Drosophila melanogaster: one gene and its partners. The protein of the gene in region 1 interacts with the protein of each later gene in a pairwise test. Each region holds a gene or a part of one and is shown in the gene's direction. Other genes may lie near its edges.

Region 1 (6,219 bases):
GAAGATGCTCTGAGGCAAATACAAACACCTTCAGCCAGTCAAAGTGTTTCCTTGGGCTTGTTATTTCCAGCAGATCCAATCTGGCCAAACCGCCCAGTAGTATGCTCATCTGGGGCCGCAGCCGAAAGGCGCGCGGTCGGATCATGGTGGCGGGCTGCAGCTTTACCAGCTCCTCGGCGGTGAGCAGGGGAGATATTTGGTCGGGTTGCATCACACCCGGTGTGTCGTAGACCCAACGCGCTTCCTTGTACTCCTTGCCCCGATCGTTTAGCGTTGTAATCGGTCGCGAGCCACCGGCCATGGCAAAGGCATCATGGAGATTTTCGCGTCGATCGAAGGTGCGTCCAACCGGAGCCACTGGTTGAGCAGCTGCCGCTGAACCCGTTTCCCTTGCCACTGCGCGACGCTCCTTTTCCATTTCCGCCTTCTCGCTGCGCTCCGAAACCAATCTCTTAAAGCGCTGATAGACTCGATCGTTCGATGGACGCAAGATTGGAAACCGCAGCAGTTTGAGTGTGGTGCCCGGCCACGGACAGGTGGTGGCCTTGCGCACCAGGTCACTGGCCTCCGGCCGGCAGTAGTCCGAGTTAAGCAGAATGTTGAACAGCGAGCTCTTGCCCACATTGGTGCAGCCCACCAGATAGACATCGCCTTTGTAGGCCCACGTTTTGTGCAGCTGCGTTATTAGCTCCTCGATGCCATAGCCCGTTTTGGCGGATATCAAACTGACATTCTTGATATTTAGACCATTTCCACCGCCATGCTTGATGAACTCGCGCTGCAGAGAATCCTTAATATGCTGAAGATAGATGTTGGAGTCGCGCGGCAGCAGATCGACCTTGTTGCCCACCAGGAAGACGGGTCGCTTTGCGCCCAATATGTTTTGCATGCCCGGCCAAATGGAGCAGGGAAAATCGAGAAGGTCCACCAGAACAATAGCCAGTGCAAATTTGTCTTGAATGCGGGATATGGTGTCCACATAGGTCGATGGGGCCACCACCACATCCAATGCGATGTTGTAGTGGTTCAGAAAGTGACAACGCTTGCAGGTGATCGTTTGCAGTTCCTGCTGCGTCCTATCCCTGAATATTTCACTTGGTATATAGCCTGGCAGGGAGGCATTCGTGCAATGAAGGTCTGCGCCGCAGCCGTTGCATGGAACCTTTGAGGCGGGTAACGAAGGATCCGGTGTGCCCTGCTTATTCCCTCCCTCCTGGGCGCCCTGATAGAACTCGTAGTCGTCCATCCAGTCGTCGGGCAAATGCTGTTGTGTCTCAGGAATCGAGAAAGAGGGTTTTATTTTGGTCTCCAGAACAGAGCTGTAATGAACGTGCTCATGATCCTTGTACCGCTCTCTGGCGAGCAGCCACGCCCTCTGCCGAAAGCTCTGTCCCACTTCAGCGGCGGTATTCTGCCGCCTCGAACATGTGATAACCACATTTTTATTTATAATTTTATATAAACGTGTGGTTTTAAACATTTTGCAATGCCCACAAGAATTCTCACAGTGTCAGACTAAAGCCGTTTGCTACGAAACCATTTACATAGTCAGGGCTGCTAGCCGATAGATCTGAACGATTGTTATATTATTTGGCGTACAAAATAACAAGCATCAATTCAAGCAATGCTTTTTGTGTTATAAATCGAATAAAAGATATTTCAGTACATTAATTTGTGTTCATTAACTGGAAAAAAACAAAACGCATCGAAATTAGGCCGATTCATATCGAACAATCACGAGTGTATCGAAAATCGAAATCGGTGAAAGAGAAAAAAGAAAGCAGCGTTAGCGAGAAAGCAGAGGTGAGTTAAGTGCGGGACAAAAAAAAAGCGTGTATGTATTAAAATTGAAACAAAAAGATATAGAAAAAGCGTGTCCACGGCGCAATTAGCGTGCTCCTGCGGCGGTCGGCAGGCGATATACGCATTGGTAAAAGTACAGAGTACACGCCGAGTAAAAAGCAGCAGCGCACAACAAATAAAATGATTAGGAAAGTGTGTGGAAAAAAGACAAGTGTATGTGAACGGCGATTGTATGTGTGCGTGACGTGACTGTATGCGTGCTGCTGCTGCGTGTATATGAAATAAAAAGTAACGCGAAGCGCGACCTAATTTTAACCAAATATTACAATAATATTTGCATAAACAAAGGCGGCTCGGTTAATGTGACGCCAGGCATTTTGGTGGTTCCTGCGGCTTTCCACGAACGTTTGCCGACGCCATTGTCTGACCAAAAACAAAAGAAAAGAATTGAAATAGAATAAATCTCAGACGAGCACACTATTCCGTCGAGTGTAGAGTTCTTCCCGATTGAGTAATGCAATAACAACAAACGGAGCTGCTCAAATTGTTGAGAGTGTTGCAACTTTCGTTGGAACTCGTTTTGAACCGTTGTTGTTGTTGTTGTTGTTGATTTTGTCGCTCGCATCGCTCACTCACTTACTCACCGACTCACTCGCTCCTTTCCATTCTCCTGATGTTACCAAAACTGGTCTTCAAGAAGCAACAATGCAGTTTCTTGACGGGGAAGGGGAAAAATCAATAGTTCGGAAATTAGACAACTTTCAACATCCATGATTCAACGAAATGCACTCAGCCTAGAAGAAGCTACCGATAACCCCGGGCGCAAGAGCAAGCGAGATAGTTGCCGCCGCCTACCCACACTCGCACACAGCCACACACTTACACTTATGCAGCTGAATTTCCAGCGATGTCTGCTCTGCCTTTTAAGTTGTTGTTGTTGTAATGTAATTGCGAAATCATAACGGCAGTTGAAAGTTGAGAGCGCTTAGCGAAAGAGAACGAGGGACACAGAGAGCGTGAGACTAAAGTTTAAGCTCTGGCGGCAAACTATATGCCCTGCTCTCCCCCGCCCACGCAGAAACATACAGCCGGCTGCCAGTGTAGCGCATATGAGAGTCGCATCAACAACAACGCTATTTCCTCAAGAAGAAAAACACATGTTGGCCGCACAGTGGGATGGAGTGGGAGTGAAATTAAGACAAAGTCACTGAATGGAAGTGCGAATGGTGCCGCCATCTTGGTTCTTTTTTGGTCAAAAATCACGGAATGAATGCTATTTAACTGGAGTGCGCCTAAAAATACATTGCCATCGGCAGCTGCAGCGTGCATCGCGTGCAACAGACTAATTCCGCGTTCTAAGCCACTGTGCCGCATACGAATTCAAATAAGCAATAAGTACACATGTGTGTACGACTGAAAATGCAGAAATTGCCTTGAAAAGTGAAAGGCATTCAACAGAGCGAGCCAGCGACGATTTGATATTTTTGCCTCTTTGCTTAACCTTTGCTGGCAGCTGTTTGCTGTTTTTATTTAGCGCTGTCTCAGCACTTTGACATTTTCCAGCTCACTCACACATGTACAGAGTAACAACGCTGTGCATTCCGAACTCCCATTTCCCACTGCACAAACGCTGCACATGCGCCGCAGCACATTTATATTTGCAGAATACTTTTGGCCAAGAGACGTGCTGTTTTGCAATGCTCTCGTAACGTTCACTGCTAATTTCGCCAAGCTGTTGTTTGTTTGTCTTACTCTGCCTTGCCGTTACCGTTCGTTCACTAATGCTGTCTGTTTACTTCTCTTGCAGAGTGCGTCAAAGAAAACCCAAGCGAAAACCCACGGATTAAGCGGTCCGCTGCGAATTAAGACCATCTAACGGTGAACCTTTCGGTCACTAGTCCAAATTAAGCCTCCTGCCCACCCCCCTCCCAGCATTCTGTTCAGCGAGCGCGACGCCCCCACAAAACAAAAGCTTCTTCATGATGTCGTCGGATCAACAGTTCTTTCTAAAATGGAACGATTTTCAAACGAATATGGTGACCTCGTTCCGTCACCTGCGCGACGAGAAGAGCTTCACAGATGTGAGTAACCAAATGAAACTTTCCAGAAGCGGCGATGGAAAAACTATTGCAGTCGAACTATTAGTTAGAATGATGATATTAGATGTCAATATATTTTGAAGTTACTTATAAATTCAGTCAAAATCAAGCCATAGAAGTTCGACTGTAGTTAACCAGTCCCAGGGGCGCGCTGAGGTTTATTATGCTACTCTTGGCCCGATTGGCTCGCGGCCGCCCCTTGTGGAGGGTCAGTCACCGGCTGAGCTCAGTTGGTCTGAGTAGCAGATACCTGGCCCTCACGCTATTTTCAATTCGTTTTTCTTTTACCTGTGTTCGTTCTTCGCTCTGCGTTTTTGTTCAATTTGTTGCGGTGAAAATGCCTGGCGGATCTTACTGATTTCCCAATGCTTATTGTTCACAGGTAACACTCGCCTGCGAGGGCCAAACCTGCAAAGCCCACAAAATGGTGCTTTCCGCTTGCAGTCCCTACTTTAAAGCGCTACTGGAGGTGAGTTTTTCACGCGGTAATAACTAAGCAATCGTTTGATAATGTAATGTATGCACCCGCAGGAGAACCCATCGAAGCATCCGATCATTATCCTGAAAGATGTCTCCTACATTCACCTACAGGCTATACTGGAGTTCATGTACGCCGGTGAGGTGAACGTGTCCCAGGAACAATTGCCAGCATTTCTTAAGACCGCCGATCGCCTCAAAGTGAAAGGCCTCGCAGAGACACCCAGTTCGATAAAGCGGGAAGGTTGATGGTATTAAACAATAATCGAAACAAAAAATACATAATAAATAACAACAACCAACTATAAGAAACTTATATGTACGCAAGAAAACAAAATTCCAACCAGCGGCAAAAGAAACAACATTACGAGAACGACATTTGGTATACAAATTCATATAAGAGTGCACGAGGAGGATGAAGAACGCCAACAAATGACCACACAAAGCTAAAGCTGGACAGATTGAAATGATTAGCCTGTAAAGTAGAGGTGGAGGCCAAATCCGCCCGCCCACTCCCACACCCGCTCATTCACATCTGATCAACCAAATTGCAAAAAAAAAAAAAACAACACTTACCGACAACCCCACAGAACTCGATTTGAATTCTTTTTGTTTAATTTCTGCATAAAATAGTTTGTAATATATTATTAACAATACAAACCACTCTGTATAAATAAAACGATATGGACAGCAGCCCCTAAAGCAAAACAAAACATAACGAAACGAAACAAAACAAAAAACGCACTTTTGTAAAGTAATTAAAGAAGATCCATTTAAAATATATAAAGATAATTATAAATATAGTGTGAAATGTGCAAGTAGATGGAAAAAGCCACGACGGGCGCGAATATTACAACACATTCGGTTAGTTTTTAAGCCACTAACTACAACCCCAGACATGCCACGCCTCCAGACAGACAAACTCATTTTCATCTATATTTAAACAATAAAATAGAAACAAATGCAAAATTGTACTTCAATTAATTGTGTGTGGACAAGCGCGTTTTTCCCCAACTTCTGATCATACGCGAGATACATACATATATTGTATTAATAACAAAACGAAGAAAAGGTGTTTCAGTGCGAAGCTAGCAGTTCTACACAGTTTAAACAAAAGAGTAAGGAAATACGTTAGAATGAAAAATACAACTTGAGTAAAAACTATACTTGAATATTATTACATAAAGTAAAATATTTATATGTATGTATATGTATACATGTGAGCATAGATTTAAAGAAACTACGGTAAATAAACAGAATAATTAAAACAAAAAAAAAAAAAAAACAAATGCAAATCATCCTGAGCTTTTCATTAAATTACGATTCGAAAACCGGTCGATTTGCATGTCTGCATTTATTTTAATAGTCTTTCATAACATCCTTCATAAGCTTCGTACTTTGTATACAGAGTAATTCGTTTACAAATTAACAAAAATATGTTCGCTTAGCTTAAATTACACTAATATTTGATATATTGCCGATTGGATCTCGCTTGCTGTTGCACATGCATGCAGCCAATATAGATCAAGATGCACAATAAGCCACAGTTCCTAATTATTGAAACAGTACGCATTGCGCGTGTGCAGTTCGAATGGATCGAGGCGCATCTTCTCCTGGTTATCCTCAACGAAACGCGTCACATCCGCCACGAGATTGGGTCGCTCCTCGGCGCTGGCGGCGCACGGCGACCAGATCTTAATGTTATGGTCAATGCCACTGGTGGCCAGCATGCAGATGCTCGGATGCGGCTGCACGCAATTCACGATGGCACTGTCCGCCCGATAAACGGCGCGTATCTTGCCCGTGTCTCCCTCCCAAATGTACATGTTGCCGTCATCCG
Region 2 (7,968 bases), on another chromosome or scaffold:
GCCCAGCAGCATGTCCGATATGGCCAGGTTGAGCAGGAACACGTTGGTTATGGTACGCATCCGGCGATTCTGCACCAGCGTCGAGATGACCAGCAGGTTGCCCAGCACGGCGAACAGCAGAATCATGCTATAGCTGGGTATCAGCCAGACGGGCATGCCAGTGGAAGTACTGGAGCTGGAAGCGGGTGTGGAACTGGGACTTGGACTTGAACTGGTGCCCAGGGAGAAGGCCAGTTCGGTGACCAGGTCACTGGGCTCGGTGTCCATATAGCCATCCCTATCATCATCGCCATAGCTGCTTGTCGCATTGCCCGCCAAGGAGACAGTGCCTCCGTTTCCAGTTCCATTGTAGGGTGCCACGTTGAGCGACACTATGTGACCCGCCGCACTTGGCGCATTGGCATAGTAGTCGAGCAGTGCCCTATAGGCAGCCGCTGCAGCCATGGCCGCCTGGTCGGCATCCCCCTCCTCGTAGTTGAACATCCCGGATGACCGGGTGATTCGTGGCAATCACTGGCCACCACCGCCTGACATGTCCCGTTGCGGGTCACCGAAAAAAATAAAATAAAATTTCACTCAATTGCTATTGAAACGGCGACGCTTGCGCGCAGGCTGGCAAAGATTGCGATATGGAACTCGGGGGTATCCGAGCACACGAGCTGGCGGCTTTGGCTGCCAGGAGAGGGCTCGCCTGCTACCGTTGCGGGTAACGCGTCGTGGGCAACTGACGACTGGCGGACGAGGACGACGCCTCCGCTCCGCTGGGCTAGCTGCCGCAACATGTTGCGTGGGCGATGCCGAATGGCGCAAACTCACCACGGCAACTTGTGGCTAGCAGCATGCTGCCAGGCAGCCCTGTTGCCGGGCAACTCCCATGTTGCGCGGAGGACGTTCCCTGCCGATTGGGACAAATTAATACGGTGCACTGCATCATCCATGGCGTCTGCAGCGGCGGAGCAGCTGCTGTTCGGCCCACGCACCGCGCTAATCATCAAATCAGCCGCATTCCTACGGCACTTGAGTGCCAGAGAATACAATCTCGGCTCGTTATGTGTTTGCACAAATGTTCTGCGCTAATTCCACGGATCGCATTCCCAGCCGACAAGCTGGCAGGGATCAGTGCTGATCTAGACATAGTTTTGGATATATAGCGATTCCGATTAGCACCTATAGCATCTATTTCAAAGACTACCTTTTCGCTTGCAATTGTTGCTCGTTTTTTCGGCGCAGGAAGTGAATGGAATAGCCCTCGATGAAGGAAAATAACATGACCGGGAGCTGCAGTGGTAAGACGTGACTCCACTGGGATACTGGATATGACTATGCCAGGAATCCGTGTTGCCGAAGAAACCCAATAAATCCAATAAATTCATGTTTTGATAGAATAGATAGAATTCACTTCTCGTAAGCCTCTTCACCATCGAGGAAGAGATCTTCTTCAAGGGATTCAGCTGATCCTTAAGGACGTACATAGTTTAGATGGAGGAGTACAGTCGTTGTTTTTCTATCCATCTGACTATACATATATTTGCGCACGATGTTATGGTTTCCTGTGGCCATTGCCAGTTAAGATGGCTAACACGAAGTATTTATGCAAACTTCATTATCATTATAGGAGCATCTAGCAGACTAAATTTTCTCGCGGTGTACGCATAAAACACTAGCCAACATCTGGCTTTTTTTGGTGTTTCCGAAATGCCTGCACTGAAAATGAAAATGAAAATAAAGCCAAATGCGGCGACATCGTCGCAGTTCGCCCGCTCTCGCTTGCTCCCCACGCAGCCGTCTCTGTCGCACCTGCTGTTTGTCTAACAGCTGCCGTGGGGCCTTCTGGCCAGTGCATCTCGCTCGCACGCACGGCGACTGCGCCGCCGACTTCGGCGGTCGACGGTCGGCACTTCATTCGGAGTTGCAGACGCCGGCAACGCCGCATTCGTGAGATACAACTCGTGGTGGTCGGACGAAGTTCAGCGGCTGCTCTAATATCTGGATATCTGGAACTGTGCTGGTTCTGTCCATCGCTCTTTGTGCGCTTGGATTGTGTTTTTTTGTTGTTTTTCTGGCGCTGTGTATTTTTGTTTTCGTTGTCATTGTGCCACTCTGCCACTCTGCCACTTTGTCACCTTGCAAACGGTCAACTCTTCCCGCCAGACCAGCACTCCGTTCCCCTTCGAGACTCACCCGCGATCCCAGGAAGCTGTTCCCAAGAGCACCAGCATCCCAGCTGCGCATTGAAAACCATATCTACATCCACATCCAGAACACAGCGCACCAGCATGTCGGACGGCATCGAGGTCGAGCAATTGGTGGAGAGCAAGCCGAGAAGGGTGAGTAGTGGGGAGTGGGTTGGGCACACATGGAGTTCGAGTTGGAGTTGGAGATGGATGGAGTCGGTAGTCCTGCTCCGGGCAGGGACCATGAAATGTGTGTGTATACCGGCAGGGGACGACCGAAAATTAAGAATTATAAAAGATTGGATGGGGCAGCCAGAAGTCCAGAGAGTCAGAGAGCAGGCCGGAGAGATATCTTATAAATGCACCGAAAGAAAACGGGTACTCAGTATGCTGATCACTTTTAAGGCTGAGCCAATCCGATGGCACAACCTTAAAATGGAAGAAAGTTCTAATCACCACTACATTATAAATACCTACAATTAAAGAATGCTAAAAAAAAATAATATTCTCTTGAGAATAATGATCGATTTTCGAACTTTAAATTGTTCAAATATATATTGAAAAATATTGGGGATTAGTAGAAATATACAATAATATAAAAATTCAATTACCAACAGTGGTATTGAACTCGGACATTGGCTTTAAGGATACAAAATACAGTTTTCTTCCGGTGTACACACTGGAGTTGCTGAAGCCCAGGCCCATGCGGCGTGTGTGTATATCGCTGGGCATGCGTGAGTGTCTGTAAATAACTCTGACATTGGCTCGCCGGCGACTCCGCTCCACAAGAACCGGCCCCAGAGGGCCAGAGGTCCAGGAGGCGGGGTGGCAGCTGGGTTTTATGGCTCTGGCTGGCTGGGCGGAAAGGGGCAGGGCAGGGCAGGAACAGGGACTGAGTACCGAGGGGCAATATCATCTTGGCTGGATGCGATTGCGGGGGCGGATGCAGATTGTGGGGGCGACTCCGAATCCGAATCCGAACCCAAAAACTGAATCCGAATGCGACGCCTTCGCAGCGATGCATATCAAGTTCAAGTGCGTTTGCAGTGCGGCTGCCGCTGCTGCACTTGCTCGCTGGGATCTCGAGACACCATCGATACCCAACGAAGACGCTGCGGTTAATGCGGCGCAGTCCGTCGCCCTGGCAAACACGTATAGCTTTCCAGATTACGGTATTTAGCGGGCACTGGGAGCTGGGTAAATGGTTGCAGTGCCATTATCTTGCGGGTACTTCGTTCAGCTGATCGCAAGATCTGCGTTTCATGTGACTTTTGGTGCACAGCACTTGTTCGCCAACCTAATCTCTATGGCATCAAACAAAACGATTGTGCAGGCCAATAAATATTACAATTTCGAGGTTTCCAAGTGCAGGCAAACAAGTGAGTAATAAAAGTGTATGGAATCGATGGGGATATCGGCCATTCCACACCCTTTCAATGCTCGGGAATCGCTTCCTGACGCGCCAATTTTGGTCATCCACTCCCCGAGTCGTCGTCGTCGTCGTCACCTTCAGGCGGCATGAATCACGCACTCGGAACCTCGTTTCCCGCAACCCGCAACCCGTACCCCATACCGATACCCCGTACCCATCAGAATGACCATCCACAACCCCATCCGGCATCCCAGATCCCCCGACTCCGGGCGTCTGGGGCGTGAGCAGCCACAAAACAGTTTGCTCCTTTGTTTCCTGCACTGTTTGTGCTAGTGTGCGTGGCGAATGAAACATCGACGGCAGCGGAATAAAAATAAGAAATAAAATGAAATGAAATAAAGTAAAGTAAAGTGGGGGAAAAAGAACATTGACATATCGGCGGTCCCAGACCCGGAGCAAGTACGTCATTGCGACTGCGCTGCGGCAACTGGCAATTTGTCACAACATTGCCAATTATTTTTTTTGCTTGTTTTATTTATTTTTTTTTTTTTTTTGGACTTAGTCTGGCCAAGGCGAAGCGGTTAATAACCGATTCGCTGCAATTTATTGGTTATTTTCCAATTGCCTTGCCAATGAGTCAGTTGCATCGACCCACGAATATTCCGCATATTGTGTTTTCACTGTGCATGTATGTCATATATATATCTGCATCGCCTCTCCTTTATTTTCCTTTATTCATGCCCGATCGTATTATTTGGAATTTTTTTCGTTTCTTATCTGAAATTCATTAGTCAACATAAAACACTTTCGGTCCACTTGTACATACACAATGAAAAAGCGAATAAAATACAAAATGTTTAGTGCAATCGAAAGTGAATACTCTAACTTTTATTGTTCATACTTCAGTATTTGCTTTATGAGCTCACGATCTATATATACCATACAATTAGATATATAAACTATACAAACAGAGTTAACTTGAAATAATGTCAGTGGTGTATACCAGGCATCGAATGATAAAAGATACGGATATAATACCATTCACTCTGTAGTTCTCGATAGCTTGCTGTTTACTTAAGGACAGGATTATTTACATACAATACGTTCTCATAGATGTTTATTTTAAAGGTATCCCAAGAATTTCTACAACTGCGATACCTTTCACAAGGGTATCAGCGTTGAGTTACGCAGCAAGTCAGTTTCAAGCACCTGGCGCTGGGGATTCGGTTTCGTTTTCGTTAGCAAATTGTTATTTGCTGTATTATGCTTGGTTACGTTTAGCTGCAGTTATAGCCGCGTTTGATGCATCGCCGGCCCGCTCATTGCCAGATATCGATGGATATAGCTATAGATACTATAGCTACATATATCTAGCTGGCAATGCAGCGTGCTGTATGAATGCACACATGGGCATATATGGCTCATTACGTACGAATCCACATATATAGATAGATATAATACATATGTACATCTATCTATCGGATATGGCCGCAAGCCATTTGAGTAGCGCGAATTGTTTGGCAGATGGCTTTCCTGCTGGAAAGGTGGCTAACTCAATGGATCTGTTAGGATTATTGGTGGTTCCAAGTGAAACTGAAAATATGTATGCATATACATTTCCTGTCATCGCTACAAGGTTACTTATCAGACTGTTGCTCACTGTTTTCCATCGAGAATCACGAATCACGATTAACCGTATCAATTATGGACTGGCTACTGTCGCTCGCTTTTCTATGCGAATCTTTCGAGGATGACGCACTCTGACTTTCCTTGAAACTATTGTAGTTTCCCTTTTTTCGATATATTTCCTGAAGCCAGCGCAATATCTCGATTCCTATGACTAAGCGTCAATCTCTGCTGAATTTTTATGGCGTGTAAAATTGGAACAGGCGAGCCCTACAGATTTAACCGGCACTAATTGCCCGGGCGATCCCAAGAACTTTCGGTAATAAATCAATTACAGTTCCTTTAGTTTTGCGACAGTTTTCTTATCAGAGCAAATAGATGGCATTGCGTCAATTCCGGAGGTGGGGCTATCCGAGCCTATCCTATCCGATCTTTGGGTGCACTCCCAGCCCAACTGGAGTGATCTAATTTGTCGTGTTGTCATTGTGTCAGAAGTGGAGATATGGCCATATAGGCATATATATGTATATAGATACATATGTGCGAACGTTATCGGGCTTATCGGCTGGAAACTTAATTTCAGCTAATTTTAGCCAACAATTTGGCTCACGTACCCGTGGAGGTTGCAGGAGGAGCACCGACATTTCTATATACATTTGTATCTGCTATCTTGCTTGTTTGGGGGAAAATTTGTCGGGTATTTTCGGTGGGTCATTCGCTGCAACGGTTTCTTAGTCGTCCGCTCATTTTTGGCACAGTTTGCGTCCGCATCTTGTTCATTTTTTTTTTTTTTTTGCCTGCCTTCCGACTAATTAATTCAGAGCCACGAAACGGGAGATTCAGAGCTGTTCCATAGTTCTATGCGACGCATAGAATACACATACAAACTCCAAGTTCTTACTGCGTCGCGTTGTGAAAGTCGTCGCCCGAAACATCTTTGGGTTTAATTGTTTGGCTTTTGATATTTTCGACAGTCGTCGCTTTTCTAATTGATTTTTCTCACCAGACGCCGTACTCTCCGGTCATTGAACGCATTATAGAGCGATCTCTATCTCCATCTTCCCATCGGTATCTGTATCTGTATCTGTATTTGTACCTTTAGCTGTATCTGTATCCGTATCTCTGGCCCAGCTTCAATGTCTATTTATACGCGAGTCTAGTTCCTGACTCCAAGCCCGATCCATTTGGCTGGCAGTTGGACCAACAGTCATTTGGCTCTCTTTGTTTGTTGTCATCCCGTTCCGACGACCCCAAGTCACTTATCAAATCTCTGACCTGCTTTCCGCCGGCTGCTGATTGAAAATTGTCACGCGTAAATTGATTTTAATGCGGCGATCCGCTTAAGACAATAAGAGTGCACTACGTGAAAGGGTAGTTTTCCGATCCGTACTACAAGTATACTCGTATCAAAAACCATCGATCCAATCGCTTTACACGCTTTCCACGCATCTAAGCTGAGCCTAACTTTGTGCACATAATGCTACCCCAAAGATCACTTAATAAACCACAATTAAAATTAATCTTTAGCTAACCAAAATCGTATTGAGACTTGGTTTTTTACATTTCACTATCAAGCCATTCGAACTTATCAAGCAATTTAAATTCATTTACATATCGATATTTTTAAATCATCATATTTTTGGGCTTTGAACCAGAACCCTGAACCCTCATATGTGTGTGCTGATATCATTATCAAAAATGCTGTAATTTAATATGCGGGTATGTTCCAGTATGTTATCATAATAAAGCCTTTATTTTTTCTTCGAAATATGTACATATTTACATTGGCTACTTTTCCGCTGGCCCGCTGGTATTATGTTTATAAAGCACTAAAGCGGCAACAAATTGCTTTCCGTGAATCTGCCCGAACGTAATGCAAGTGGGCGATGCAATGGCGTGCCTATTCCCCTGGCCGACTTGAGGTTGCCTGACACGGAAACAAGTCGAATTGAATGTAATATAACCATCGAAAGCGAAAGCACCGCTTAAATCTGACTCATAGATGGCGCCGTCAAGAGTACTTGGCCCCGCATTGAGTACATACAATACATTTCGCTATCGATGGGCCAAAGCGGATGATCCATTCGCCTTGGCGAAACGATTCGGACTTGGAATACATGATTAAGATATATACTTCCGTCTGAAAGTTGCTTATAGTTCCCCTCTTCGCTTGCTTATAATCCTCTTCCCCCTTGCTCTTTCGCAGATGCCGCTGGCCACGTCGCTGGAGAAGGACTCGATTCGCGAGGCCTACGAGGATGTACGCTCCGATCTGACAGACACCGAGTGGGCGGTATTCAAGTTCGATGGCGCCCAGATTATTGTACATGCGCGCGGTCAGTGCTTTGAGGAATTCCGACAGCAGTTCGGCGACTCGGAGCGCGCCTTTGGCTACATACGCATCCAGATGGGTGACGAGATGTCCAAGCGCAAAAAGTTCATCTTCCTGACGTGGATCGGGCAGGAGGTGGGCGTCATCCAGAGGGCCAAGATGTCCACGGACAAGGCGCTGATCAAGGATGTCCTCAACGTGAGTAGCCAATAGCTAGAGATGCCAGAGCCCAGAGGCAGAAATAGATCCTCTCATCTCTAATCTCTTGCAGAATTTTGCCGTGGAACTTCAGGCGGGAGTGGAGGCCGAGCTGGACATTGAGCTCTTCCGTGAAGCACTGAACCGTGCCGGCGGCGCCAACTACGGAACGGGCATCCGGGATAACTAAGCGGCCTCCAAGTTACTTTACATATACATTTTTTTTTGCAACTCTTAACTGCTTACCAAACTGCTCCTTTCTCTTT
Region 3 (4,423 bases), on another chromosome or scaffold:
CTACCCCAATCCGCTCCGGCCTAAACTTAAGTACGTCCTTGCACCTGTACTTTCGCCGGGCACCGCTGCGCAGGCGCACGAATTGTCTAGTGGCCCACACTTGTTTTACTTAACGTTTTATATCTATGTATGTATGTACGTATATGCACATGGCCCTCGAGGAGGTTTTCGGATGTGCTAGATCCGGCGAATTCGTTTAATTCTCAGTGTAAACTACCATGTATGTAAACAATACGGAAATCAATAAATACTTGTGACCCTCTGGTTTGATACGAATTGCGTTTTCATGTGGAAGTAGTTTAGGAACGAGCCAAGAAAGCTAAATAGCTAAGTAGACCGTCGTTTCCATTATGTTTAAACATCTCATAGTGATCACGTTTTATTGATCTAATTACCATTTAACAAACCGACTTCGGATTACTTCTTGGCTGGAGCCTGTGGCGGAACTACCTCGGCGGGGGGATTAGCGTTGCGGAAGTTGGGGAACTGTTCCCAAGGCGCCGACAAGTCAAACTTCCTGAACTCCTGGGCCAACTCCAAGGGCTCGCAGACGACTCGCTTCTTCTCATCATCGTAGCGCAGCTCTACGTAGCCGGACAGCGGGAAGTCGCGGCGCTGGGGATGTCCCTCAAAACCGTAATCGGTCAGGATGCGGCGCAAGTCGGGATGGTTGGCAAAGAACACGCCGTACATGTCCCAGATCTCACGTTCGTACCAGTTGGCCGCCTTATGCACCTCGCAGGCGGAGTCCAGAGGAGTCAGCTCATCGGTGTAGGTCTTAACGCGGATGCGCGAATTGTAGCGCAGCGAGAGCAAATTGTAGACCACCTCGAATCGGTTCTTGCGACAGGGCACATCCACGCCGGCAATGTCAACCAGGTTGGTAAACTGCGCCTGATGATGATCCTTAAGGAACTGCAGCACGGGCACCACGCCCTCTGGCGCAATAAGCACCTCCAGCTCATCGCCGGCGGTCAGCTGCACCTTCTGCACGTACTTGGGCAGGCACTCGGCCACATAGCGCCCGAAATCGGAGAGATGCGAGCGAGCGACTGCGTCCGGCTGGCGGACAGTGGCTGTGGGTGGAATGTCTTACATGTAATTGACACCGCGATAAAGTCGACTTTTACCTACGCTTATCCGCCTTCTTAGGCTCCACTGGCGTTGTACTGGCCATCCGAAGAGCAGTGGATCCAGCAGCGGGCACCACTGATTGTTGAAGGGTTAGAATAGATCAGTTGAAGCTCTAGAGGCAAGGCATTTACCAACCATGTTTGGCCGACAGAGCGGCGACTGCGGCACGGGCACCCAGATTCCTGATTAAGGCCGCCATTCTACAAACTGTTCAATATAAATTCAACAATTTGCTCCGTTTTTGACAATTTATGTAATGCTAAAATGTCAATATAGTTGTTGGAGCCTAGGGTTGTCAGTGCGCCAAATTAATCTACTCGACAGCCCTACTTCGGTATTTTGACAATTTCGGTACAACACAAATACCGCACATACATTATTGTATTTCGTGTACGTTAACACCGAATTATTCTTCATTAAAAACCTCAACATTTTTTTGGAATATTTGCTTAAATGATTTATATAAAAAATAAATATACCCTACTACTTGATTTATTATTTAATTAAAAATACCAACACGTTCCTTGAAGTACAGCAGATGGAAAACATTTACAATTATTCTTCATTACCAACCACAAAACTTTTCTAGAATATTTGGTTAAATGATTTTTAAAAAAAAGAAATGTACCCTACTACTTCATTTATTATTTCATTAAAAATACCAACACGTTCCTTGAAGTACATCTCATGGAAAACATACCGAAATACCGAGATCTTAGGTGCATTCGACTACCCTGGCTGAAAACTGTGACAACGCGTTGCGTTTGGAATTGCGAGAATTGAAAACTTCTTGGAAATCAATTGGAAATCAAAACACAACAAGATGGTAAGTGAAACGCGTCCTCCCAAATCCCCGGGATAAGTGAAATTTAAATCTACAATCGTCGCCGTTTGCAGAATCATCTTAAGTGGATGGGCCACTCATCCACGATAATGGACATCCAGCGCTCGCTGCGTAATGATAATCAGCACTGCGAGGTGGTGCTGGCCTCCAGGGACGGCGTTCGAGTGCGCGCCCATCTATTCGTGCTAAGCACTTGCAGCGAACTGATGCGCAACCTCCTGGTGGACGTTCCGCGCGGCCAGGAGGCAACCATAATGCTGCCCGACATCCGCGGAGATTTGCTGGAGTGCATGCTGTCCTTCATTTACATGGGCGAGACTAGCCTGCCCTCCGCGTCGCTCCCCGAGTTCCTGGAGGCCATTAACCTCCTCGGCATCAAATCTGCCATCAGCTTTGAGTGCAATCCATCGGCTAGTCCACCCAGTGTCGATGTAGAGAACCATTCGTTAGCCGTGGAGTCGGCCAAGTCCATTACAGGACTCCAAATCGCTGAGGCCGAGCTGCTGGACGACGAGGAAGAGCCACATCCGATGGTCTCCGTCCCAGCCACTACACTCGCGGGTTCTCAACACCAGCCCAGCCATTCCAGTCGGTCATTGGAGTACATTGATGTCTACGAGCCGCCGAAGATCACCTACTCCATCGAGCACATGGACGGAAGTTCCAGCGGCAACCAATTTATACTCACCGAGAACACGGGCACTTTCACCATAACGCAGTCAGCATCGAGTTTGTCCAAAATTGAGGCAGATGAAACGGGTACCAGTGGCGCTGAAGTGGACCTGGGCGATGATGACGTGGATGCGGACCTTGCTGAGGATTCTGAGGAGCACGAATCACAAATGATCGACGAGGAGTTCGCGCAAGCCGATCCTCTTATGGAACTAGAAGCTGGTACTGAAATGGACGACGATGACGACGTGCACGACCAACTTGTGGACGAGGAAATAGACGATAAGCCCCGCAAGTTGGGCGGGGGAAAGACGCGAATCCGTCGCCCCATAAGTGCGAAGGCTGTCAAACGATTGTCCGATTGCAAGCCAACGCGAATCCAGCAGTTCGCAGCTCTGAAACGTGAGGTAAAAGACGATATCAACGATGCTTTGGATCTGGCGGCCGACGCGGTTATCATCGAGGGCTTAAGCCTACAAAAGGCCGCCGACCGGTTTGATATCTCCAAGACAGTCCTCTGGAGACGCGTGCGCACTAATCCCGCCTACATGCGAAACAATCGGGAACGACCATCCCTGCAAGAGGCCTACGAGCGACTGAAGAATGGACATTCTTTAAAGAGCATCAGCAGTGAGTTGCAAATCCCCATGTCCACGTTGCACAGACACAAGGTTCGTCTGTCCGCCCAGGGACGCCTGCCCAACTTCGTGTCCTGCCGAAAGCGCGACAATACGCCCAAGGATGAGCTGCGCGACAAATTAGCCAAGGCGGTGCATGCCTGCCTGAATGAGGGAATGTCCCAAAACCACGCGGCCAACCTCTTCGAGATCCCCAAGAGCACGCTCTGGAGACACCTGCAGCGACGCACGACGAGCCAGAATAAAAAGGTCAAGAAGGAATTGAAGGCCAATTACGGAGACGATATGCTAAACTAGAAATAAGCCTTCGGAGTTCTGGTTTTACAAACGTTCAGCTGGAATCAATAAGTTACCATTAAGAAGCCATAAGCATAGGGTTTAACTTCATGTTGTCCCATCAGTGTATGTACATCAACCATATCCTATCTCCTGATGAAACCAAAATTGAGTCCGGAAGAGCAGCAAGAGATGCTATTCTAGAGGTAGTTTTGTAGACTTAGTTCTATATGTAGATACCATTACCATTTTAACTGCTGCTCTTTTATTGTTCACTCCATCGTAATTGGTTAATTAAATACAACCAAAAATTAACAAAAACTTCTTTTTAAATGGGTCAAATTTATAACATGAGAGAAATATGTACATGCATGTAATTAAAATGCCGGTACTCTTCTCCAGCAAGGGTATAAAAATATCGATATTTTCGCTGGTTTTTCACATCCCTATCGCAATCTTTTCCCGGAATGAAGAGTCCAAATCGGTGGTGTAGTGATGTCAAGGTTACCAGACCGATCCCTGCTCACCCGCTGCGAAATTTTCGTCTACTTCGGGGTCTATATAGCGTATATAGTTGTGGGCCTGTACAAGATCTATGGGCTGCGGGATCACATAGTCAAGGAGGCAAAGTTCCAGTTTCCGGAGGGCTGGAGTTTGTATCCTTTTTCCCAGCGGCGTCGGGATGACAGCAACGATGAGCTGGAGAACTTTGGAGACTTTATCGTCAGCTTTTGGCCCTTTTACTTGCTGCACGTGGCTGTCCAAGGATTCATACGCTGGAAACGTCCCCGCCTTCAGTGTCTGGGATTCATCGGCGTCTGTGCCTTGGCTCTTAGTGTAAACCTGGACTGGTCATCGA

What was found. The genes of interacting proteins can lie anywhere in the genome.
Region 2: the proteins of lolal (region 1) and CG6891 interact in a two-hybrid assay, tested with the Drosophila melanogaster proteins (one large-scale study listed by BioGRID).
Region 3: the proteins of lolal (region 1) and CG15812 interact in a two-hybrid assay, tested with the Drosophila melanogaster proteins (one large-scale study listed by BioGRID).

Annotation. Positions count from the first base shown.
Region 1 is NT_033778.4:18,153,557-18,159,775, reverse strand, and holds lolal (lola like), read left to right. Parts: upstream 1-1,757; 5' UTR 1,758-1,834; exon of another isoform or gene 1,835-2,016; intron 2,017-2,883; exon of another isoform or gene 2,884-3,029; intron 3,030-3,396; exon of another isoform or gene 3,397-3,610; 5' UTR 3,611-3,782; coding exon 3,783-3,884; intron 3,885-4,284; coding exon 4,285-4,371; intron 4,372-4,433; coding exon 4,434-4,628; 3' UTR 4,629-5,681; downstream 5,682-6,219. Other genes in the region: CG10914 (uncharacterized protein), read right to left, coding at 1-1,480; adp (adipose), read right to left, coding at 5,930-6,219. UniProt on the Drosophila melanogaster protein: Required, together with Trl, for maintaining the repressed state of target genes including homeotic genes Scr and Ubx. May also be involved in the activation of homeotic genes. Binds to a DNA Polycomb response element (PRE) at the bithorax complex.
Region 2 is NC_004354.4:18,773,303-18,781,270, forward strand, and holds the start of CG6891 (uncharacterized protein), read left to right. Parts: upstream 1-1,925; 5' UTR 1,926-2,276; coding exon 2,277-2,327; intron 2,328-3,195; exon of another isoform or gene 3,196-3,553; intron 3,554-6,330; exon of another isoform or gene 6,331-6,543; intron 6,544-7,378; coding exon 7,379-7,702; intron 7,703-7,775; coding exon 7,776-7,892; 3' UTR 7,893-7,968. Other genes in the region: CCKLR-17D3 (Cholecystokinin-like receptor at 17D3), read right to left, coding at 1-483.
Region 3 is NT_037436.4:3,158,140-3,162,562, forward strand, and holds CG15812 (uncharacterized protein), read left to right. Parts: upstream 1-1,851; 5' UTR 1,852-1,957; coding exon 1,958-1,960; intron 1,961-1,967; exon of another isoform or gene 1,968-2,031; coding exon 2,032-3,585; 3' UTR 3,586-3,880; downstream 3,881-4,423. Other genes in the region: ND-30 (NADH dehydrogenase (ubiquinone) 30 kDa subunit), read right to left, coding at 418-1,076, 1,135-1,209, 1,270-1,333; rasp, read left to right, coding at 4,060-4,423.